Linked DNA regions of Macaca fascicularis. The protein of the gene in region 1 purifies or fractionates together with the protein of each later gene. This does not show direct contact. Links are inferred from orthologs where the notes say so. Each region holds a gene or a part of one and is shown on either strand. Other genes may lie near its edges.

Region 1 (4,120 bases):
TTGACCCTTGAGCCATATGAAAGAGACCATGCCGTGGTCGTGGGAGTGTACAGGTGAGCAGGGGCCCAGCAATACACCAAGACAGACATCTCTGTCCCTTGCACCCCAAGTGCCATGATCCTGGGGATCCTTCTTCATCACGTATCTTCCTCTCACAGGCCACCCCCCAAGGTGAAGAACTGAAGTTCAGCGCTGTCTGGATTGCTAGAGATGTGTGTTGATACTGTTGCACGTGTGTTTTTCTATTAAAAGACTCATCCGTCTCCCATGTCTGCTGCTCATTCCTCCCCTTGACCTGCTGACACAGGGCGCATGCACCCTTGGTTAACTTTGCGGGGTCGTGGGGTAAATTCTCACCCGGTCACAGAGCCCATGCTCCATTTGTAGCTGCCTCTCGCGCAGTCGCAGCCCGGATTTCAGTTCTTGGGTGTGATTGGTAGCTCACTGCGCATGCGTACAGGTAAGCGGCCGTCTCGCGCAGGCGGAGTGGCAGTCTGGGTCACGTGGGGGGAGCGGAGAGGGCGGGATGGGGGCGGAGTCCAGGGCGTGGGGGGGCCGGTTTGTTGTGGTCGCCATTTTGCTGGTTGCATTACTGGGTAATCGGGGCCCTGGCTTGCCGCGTCCGCCGGATACCCTCAGCCAGTGGGCAGGTCTGAGCTCGGGCTCCCCGAGCAGTTTGAGTCCCCTTGCCCGCTCCCTCAGGTAACGGCGCAGGGACGGTGGGGCGGTCGCAGGGAGGTGGGCAGGACGGGATCCGCCCTGCCCGCGTCGCCGCGAGACTTAGCGCGAGGCCAAGGGAGGAGAGGAGGGGGGTGGCGGGCAGGTGCGGGCCCTGCCTGGCTATTCATAGTTGAATTCCTGGAACCGGCCAAGCCCGAGGGAGCAGTTGCAGGAGGGAGGCTGGGAGGGGGTAGCCGGGCCCCACTCCCGCCCTTTGTTTGGGCTCGGCTCCGCGGGCCGCTTCTTCGTTGCCTAGCAACAGCTGCCCTAGGCTGTGATTGGCTGAGCTCTTGGCACCAGCGACCAATGGCACAGTTGTTGCCATGGCAGGTGCCGATTGCCAAGCTCAGTCGGGCCCCGCCTGCCGGTCTCGGCAGGCCCAGGAGGGCCTCCTGGGTGGGGGGCGGGACGCCGGGTCCCTAGGGGCTGGTGGCCACTCAGGGTGGGGCGTGTCGCCCCTCCCCCGTCCACCTGCTCTACTCTTCCCCCTCGTGCCCCGGGCTGACCCTTGTCCCCTCCTCTCCCCGCCCCTGGTGGCAGCGGCGGCTGCTGTTGTCACCCACCGGGCCGCCCGTCCCGCTTGCCCTCCCTGCCGCGGGGCCGGCCGGGCCAGGGACAGGCGGTCGCCTTTTCAGCGCTGCCACCGCCGCCATGCTGGCCGCTCGACCACCCGCCTGGGGGCCCCACCGCGCCCCAGCCCCCCGTGGGCCCCGCGCCAGCCCTGACCCGGGTAGGGGGTGGGGGCTGGGAGAGATGGTCCTGGTGTGGGAGGGCCCCGGAAAAGAGGTTGTTTTGGGGGGAAGCTCCAAGGGTGGAGGAGTCGTGGAGTGGCGAGGCATGGAATAGGAGAAAAGGATTTGACATGGGGGAGAAAATGGCCCATTGGGGAGATTTTTGCTGTGGCTGACAACTCTGGGAGGAGAGAACCCTATGTGATACTTGGGCATTTGGCTTTGAGGCCCTGTAGGAGTGGACTCAGTTGTGGAATGACCCTGGTATAAAGAGGGGTGCCTGGAGAAAGGTGTCTGGTAGGAATATTAGGCAGTGTGTGTGTGTGTATGTAGGGGGGCAAGGAAGCAGTGTAGGGGAGAAAAGATCACTCTAAACTGTGGGAAGAGACACCTCCCATCAGGAGGAGTGGGCCTTGATTGGGATGGGGTCTTGGAGTAATGTGGGGAAGAGCCCTGTTGTGGCAGGGGGAATTGGGATATAGTACAGGGAGACTGCCTGGAAGGCTGGTTCCTAATATGGAGGACCTGATATAGGGAAGCGGTCTTGGCATGATATGGAGAGGGTCCCCTAGGAAAGTTGTGCCCTGGTAGATGAGAATGCCGTAGAGATAGGACTCTGTTCTGTAGAGGTTCTCAGATAACTTTGGTGTGGTTGGGAGGTCCCTAAGGACGCTGATGTGGTTTTAGGGCTGCAGAGGATTCTGCTGTGGTTTGGGAGGGGAACACTCATGTGGTTTGGAAATCCTAGAGTTCTCTGGGCTGAGGGAATCTACTGAGAAGGGTAGATCTTGAAGTAGTGGCCCTTGCTGTACTACGGGCTGAGATCCTAATGTTCAGGGAAGACTTTAGAAGGGTGGGATCTTGTGTTAGGGGCCCTGGGGAGGGCCATGAGTAGTAATGAGAAAAGAATGAAGCTTACTCCTCTGCATACTGTCTGTGGTTTCTATCTTTTTTCTTTCCCTCCTCCGAATTATTGGTGTCTTCCTGTCCTCCTTTCCCTGTGATGGCTCATATCAACCCCTGCCTGGCCCCCAATCATTGTCTTTTATGCGTTCTCTTTGTGCTGCCTTAATCATTTACTTGGTCATTATTTGTCAAGGGACTGCTGTGCCACCCCCCACCTGGCTGCCACTTCTCTGCCCCTTTTCTTCATTGCTACCTGTTGCTCCGTTGTGCCCTTTTCCTCTTCTCTCTGTTCCCTGCCTTTCTCATGCCCACCTCTTCCGCGCCTGGCACTATTCACATATCCCTTGTTCCATGTTGTTTTCCTACCGCCTGTCTGCTCTCAGGTGTCAGCGGCGGTGGCAGCCGAGGTGCAGGATGCAAGAAGGCGCCCCCCGGCCGGGCTCCCGCTCCAGGCCTCGCTCCCCTGCGGCCCTCTGAGCCCACCATGGCCGTCCCACCGGGCCATGGTCCCTTCTCTGGCTTCCCAGGGCCCCAGGAGCACACGCAGGTACGCGTTCAGCTGGCTCCTCACCTGCCTGGTGGTAGGGGGAGGCTGGGGATAGAAGGGTCTCCAGACCAAAATGTAGTGTGGTTGCCCAAGACAGTCTCCTGGGCACATAATGGGTCCCATGGGATTGGAAAATAACAGAGGAGTTTTCAGGCAGAGTCAGGGTTTGGAGAGGTTGGGTTCAAATGCTTACCCAGTGATTAAATTACTTAGATTCTCCATACTCGAGTTTTCTATTCTGTGAAATGGGGCCAATAATGATACCTGCCTCACACGGTTGTTGTGAGGATTAAATGAGTTAATGGTATGCATGTAGAATGCTTAGAATGGTGCCTGGCGCATAGTAAATACCCAATAAATGCTCACTAAGAAAAGTTCAGAGTGAAAGATCTGGAGGGGGTGAATGGGGAGGGGGGTTGAGTCTAAACGGTCTTGAGTCCAAGAGGCATGGGTGGTGCAGGGCAAAGCTCTCCAAGGCTGGAGGCAGTGAAGGCAGTGACATGCAGAGCTTGAAGCAGGATGGAGTGGGAGGTCCAGGGGCCAGATCAGATCCAAGAGTCTTGGAGTGAAAGAACTATGCAAAGAGTTGGTGGGGGTATGGGTTGGGGCCCAAGGGATGAGGGTAAATTGAGATAGAGGAACTTCAGAGGATACCCAGAATGGCTGGCTTCACAGTGAAGAATGGGGAGGAACAGAGCCCAGATTTTCCATATAATCTCTCCCACTGAGGTTCAGAAAGGAGTAAAGGTGAGGGGTGAAAGGTCAGGGTTCACTCATTCACATCACAGGTCTGAAAGAGTATCCATTGTGTGCCAGGCCCTGCTTTAGGCACTGGAGGTACAGTAAGAACAAGAGAAAGTCTCAGCCCTGGGGGAGTTTCTTTCCTAAATGGGTGGAACAAATACAGACAGCAACCAAATACATGATGCGCGAGCAGCCCTTATAGTTCTTCCTCTTGAGGTTGGAGGTAAAGGCCCGCCCTCAGTGCCCACCCCTCACCCTGCCCTGCAGGTATTGCCTGATGTGCGGCTACTGCCTCGGAGGCTGCCCCTGGCCTTCCGAGATGCAACCTCAGCCCCGCTGCGTAAGCTCTCTGTGGACCTCATCAAGACCTACAAGCACATCAATGAGGTGGGCAGGGGCTGGGGGATCCTGGGCTGGGTGCCGAGGGTCTTGGCTGCTGGCATGAGTCACTCACCAGTCCCCATCTCCTGCC
Region 2 (4,236 bases), on another chromosome or scaffold:
CCCTTCTAGTAGACATCCCCACACAGCACAAACCAGAAGGATGAGGTGGAGGGGAAGCTAATACTCTCCCCAGCCCCACCCCCTGCACAAACACATTCTACTCCATACCTGCCTTAAACACCCACATCATGATCGGGCCCAGCCTGTTCAGATCCCTGGATTCTAGAAAGCAGTGGGGGGTCCCTAGGGCCTGTGCAGATTCCCTGGGATAGGACTGGTCTGCCTACACCCAACTGGATGTTAAGAATCTCCCTGACTCACAGGTTCAGTGGATTGGGAAGAAAAAAAAAAATTCAAAAACATTTCCCCGAGAACTCAGGAAAGGCCTGGCTAAGCCAGGTCCAGTTGGATCTACAGCCTTGTCCTCTAACTGATAGTGTATGTCACACTTGGCTATGAGGGGGCAGCTTTGGTCCTCCAGCAGCTTCCTCTCTGCTGTGGATGGGTTTAATAATAAACAGCTCGGCCGGGTGTGGTGGCTCACACCTGTAATCCCAGCACTTTTGGAGGCCGAGGTGGGTGGATCACAAGGTCAGGAGTTCGAGACCAGCCTGGCCAATATGGTGAAACCCCGTCTCTACTAAAAATACAAAAATTAGCCGGGCGTGGTGGCACATGCCTCTAGTCCCAGCTGCTCTGGAGGCTGAGGCAGGAGAATTACTTGAACCTTGGAAGCTGAAGTTGCAATGAGCCAAGATCGCGCCCGCTGCATTCCAGCCAGGGCGACACAGCGGGACTCCGTCTCAAAAAACAACAACTCACCGAGGTCTCCAGCAGCCCATACGGCCCAGATACCTAAAGACCTTCCCACATGCTGCCTTGAGTGCCATGGCGGGAGGGAGCCCCTGGGGCCTCCCTGCAATACAGGCCAACTTCCTGTTTGTGCCTGTGGGTAGGATTTTATGAGTCTAAGAGAAGCCCAGTCATGCCCCGTGGGGGGTCAGAACCGGCAGGCCTGCTCACCTGGGCAGACACCTACTCTAGGGAGGGGGCTGTGCTGGTTCTGCTTGGGCAGCCCCACGCTGAGGTGTGTGCATGGTGGGGGCAGGTGGGAGCTGCTCTGGTGAAACTCGAGCCTCCTTTGTCTGATTCCCAGGGGTTTTCCCTATATTTGGGGATTGGGTCAAGAGTGGACCGGGTTGGGCTCCCAACGGAGCAGGGAGGGTGGCAGAGTCAAGTTCTATAGGGCAGCTTAGTTTAAGGCAGCCAGGTAGTCGAATTATCGGTCACGAGATGCTCGCCCCCTTCCCCACGTCAAAAACCAAATCCAGTAAACTGTGAAGGCGAAGGCCAGAGGGGCAGCCTCGGCCACCGTCGAGTCCCTGTGGGGCAGGGAACTGGGTAGGCTGTTGGTGGAGTGCGGGACAGACCACTCCCCTCCCTGGGTGGGGGGCGCGGCCTGAGCCGCCCCGCCCCGCCCCACCAGGTCAGGCCAGGCGGGCGCCCGGAGCCGGGAGCCGGGAGCCCGGAGCCGGGAGCCGGGAGCCCGGAACCCGGAGCCCGGAGTTCGGAGCCCAGAGTTCGGAGCGGGCTAGGGAGGCGGCGTTGTCGCGGCGAGGAGGTGGGCGCGCTGGAGCAGGAGCGGGGCCAGAGCTGGAGCCGAGGCGCAGGTGGCGCTGGGTGAGTGGTGGGGCCGCGGAGGTGCAGGAACTCCTGCTTCCCGCACATCCCCGCTCCTGAACGAACTTTCCGCTTCTGGGGAAGCTAGGGGTGGAGTGAGGAGGGGGGTCCGCACTTGGTGGGTCGCCCGCGAAGAGTCCAAACAGGGAAGCGACACGAAAACGCACGCCGACGGGCCCCAAACACGCGTGCACAGACCCACGCCCGCACTTGGGACACGCGAACACACATGCAGTCGGAAAGGACGCGCCCAGTTTTGTACCCTTGCACTCCCAGGGACAGCGCCAATCAGCCCGCGCGGACCCACAGCGGGCAGGGCACTCTGCGGTCGCGCATTGGGTGCGGGAAAGGGGCAGCCCCGTGACCGCCGACGGGGGCGGGCCGGGTGGGACGCACCCAGAGGTTCCTGCTTCCTGGCCGCCCACAGGTGAAGACGAAGACGTAAACAGGCGCCGGGCACGTGACAGCTCCGCACACCAGTGGCCTGTGCCCCCAACCCCACCACGAGGCCCGTTTGCTTGGTTCCAGGCCGGACGGCGTTCCATTCTCCTCCTGGAGCCGGGATAAGCCCTCTCCCAGGAACCGGAGCACAGCGCCCCCTGGAGCCGGGGCGGAGCAGGAGGGCCGGGCTGCTGGGCAGGGCTGGGGTTAACCTGGGCTCCTGTACGTCCTTCCCCCAGCACATTCTTGGTATCTGCATCCCCGAAGGTTTCGGAGACAGGCCCTTGATGGCAGTGGACAGCTGCCCCCGCCTATTCCCGCCAGCCCAGAGAGCAGCTGCCTGAGCGCCTGCGGGTCCCCTTCCTACCCTCACCTCCACTCCTTGCCGGAGTAGGAGTCTCCTCCCCCGCAGAAAATGCATGAGTGTAAACGCCCCCTCAATACCAGAGTGGGCCTAGACCCCTAGAAAAAGGAGGACGAGCCCCTGCCCCCAGGGAATGAGGGAGTGGGCAGTAGCTCGATGCCTTCTTCCCGCCCCACCCCCTACCCCTACACACACGCTGAGCCCAGCTGCCGCCTGAGCTGGGCAGGCTGCCAGAAAGGGGAGGAGGTTCTCGGTGCCCCAGGAGGCAGGGATCAGGGCAAGGCCAGAGGAGGGGGCTCTGTTGGGGAGAGGGTCTCAGTCTGTTCTTGTGAGGCTGAGGGTCTGGGGTGAGTCTGAGGGTGGCTGGGCTGTGTTTCCCTTTCCAGGGAAAAAGAAAAACAACCCTGTCCATGGAGCTAAAAATAGAGCTGAGAGCCGGCCAGGGCTGTGGCCTGGAAGGGGGGGATGCTCCTTCCTGGGGCCCGGGCGAGCTCTGGCAGGCCTTGGCCCTGCGGGGGAGGGGGTGGTTAGGGGAGAAAGGCTGTCTTTGCCCAGGGATGCAGGCATCAGCTGACCTGACCGGGTCACCGAGACCCCTAGGGGAAAGGCTGTGCGGTAGAATATTTGCGAAGCATGGCTGTAAGAAGTTGTCTGTGTGAGTGACTGTGAATAGAGGCTGTCAATGCGTGAAAGATGGTTAGGAGACTAAGTGCATTTGAGACAGTGACTGGGTGCGAAGGACTGCGGATTGTTGTGGAAGCCTGTGCCCAACAGGCCTGTGACACCGTGTCTGTGTGTGAGTTGGACTGGAAGATTATGGAAAGAAGGAACGCGGACCCACGTGACAGCTGAGACTGCTTGTGGCTGCGTGGTGAGGCTGCATGTGGGAAAGGTCGCGTGGGTGTTAGGGAGACTGTATTGTGTGCGAGAAGGTGAGAATATTTGCGACCTTGAGAAAGTGGAATGTTGTCTGCCGTGCGGCTCCTGTAGGTTTGGGCTGTAGGCTTGGACCGGTTTGCCCCAGTGATTGTTGGGGAGCCAGGGGCCGCTTCTCTCCGAGAAATGACCTCTGTCTTAGCAAGCGGTCCCGAGGGGAGGCTGGGGAGCACGGGGCCGCGCCAGAGGCCGGCCTGGGTTCGCGGGGAAAAGGGCACCGTGCCGGGGAGTGGGGCAGGGCCCGCGTGGTGGGGGGCGGCTGGGTGTGTTCTTCGAGCGGGCCGCCAGGTGGCGCCGCCTCTGCGAAGCCCAGGTTGCCGCCTCCAACCCGCCCCTGGTGGGGCAGGTGCGGACCCAGCCTCGGCCTCCGACTCGCGCTAGGGCGCGGGGCCCCGGCACCGGAGAGTGGGGGACGGCCGGTCGTCGACCTCTCTCGCTTGGGACTCTGAGGCTGAGAGCGTGTCAAGGAAGCTTCGCTTGGAGAAGCGGAGGGGGAGGGGCGGCCGCCGCCGTGCCGTGGCCCTTTGTGCTGGAACAATGACCAGCTGCCGCTGGCCCCGGGGCCCCGGCTGGGGCGGAGGGTGACCACCGCCGCCGCCGCGTCGAGCCGAACCGAGCCGCCGGACACGCAGTCACAAGGCGTCGGAGGCAGGGCTCCCGACTGCCGCCGAACAGCCCCTACGTGCGCCCCGGCCGATTCGCGTGACGCGGGTGCCTGCGCGTGTCCCTGCGCGTGTCCCTGCGCGTGTCCGCGTCCCGGGGCGGAGACGCCCCTCGGACCCTCCCCCGCGCGGCGCCGCCCACTCGCACTGGGCGGGGGCTGGCCAGGGCCGGGGGAGCCGCGGAGGCGGGGCCGGGCCGGGCGGCTCCGAGTG

Evidence for each region. Proteins that work in one complex are often made in the same cells at the same time.
Region 2: the proteins of DYRK1B (region 1) and LZTS2 purify together in Homo sapiens (affinity purification with mass spectrometry; 3 studies listed by BioGRID and IntAct, counting the BioPlex papers as one, with this or other methods). This does not show direct contact. The link is inferred for Macaca fascicularis from reciprocal best matches to the Homo sapiens genes DYRK1B and LZTS2.

What each region holds. Positions count from the first base shown.
Region 1 is NC_088393.1:46,953,389-46,957,508, reverse strand, and holds the start of DYRK1B (dual specificity tyrosine-phosphorylation-regulated kinase 1B), read left to right. Parts: upstream 1-1,302; 5' UTR 1,303-1,371; coding exon 1,372-1,450; exon of another isoform or gene 1,451-1,748; intron 1,749-2,740; coding exon 2,741-2,904; intron 2,905-3,915; coding exon 3,916-4,035; intron 4,036-4,120. Other genes in the region: FBL (rRNA 2'-O-methyltransferase fibrillarin), read left to right, coding at 1-53, 159-183.
Region 2 is NC_088383.1:109,955,036-109,959,271, forward strand, and holds the start of LZTS2 (leucine zipper putative tumor suppressor 2), read left to right. Parts: upstream 1-1,424; 5' UTR 1,425-1,620; intron 1,621-2,016; exon of another isoform or gene 2,017-2,047; 5' UTR 2,048-2,310; intron 2,311-2,954; exon of another isoform or gene 2,955-3,357; intron 3,358-4,216; exon of another isoform or gene 4,217-4,236. UniProt on the Homo sapiens protein: Negative regulator of katanin-mediated microtubule severing and release from the centrosome. Required for central spindle formation and the completion of cytokinesis.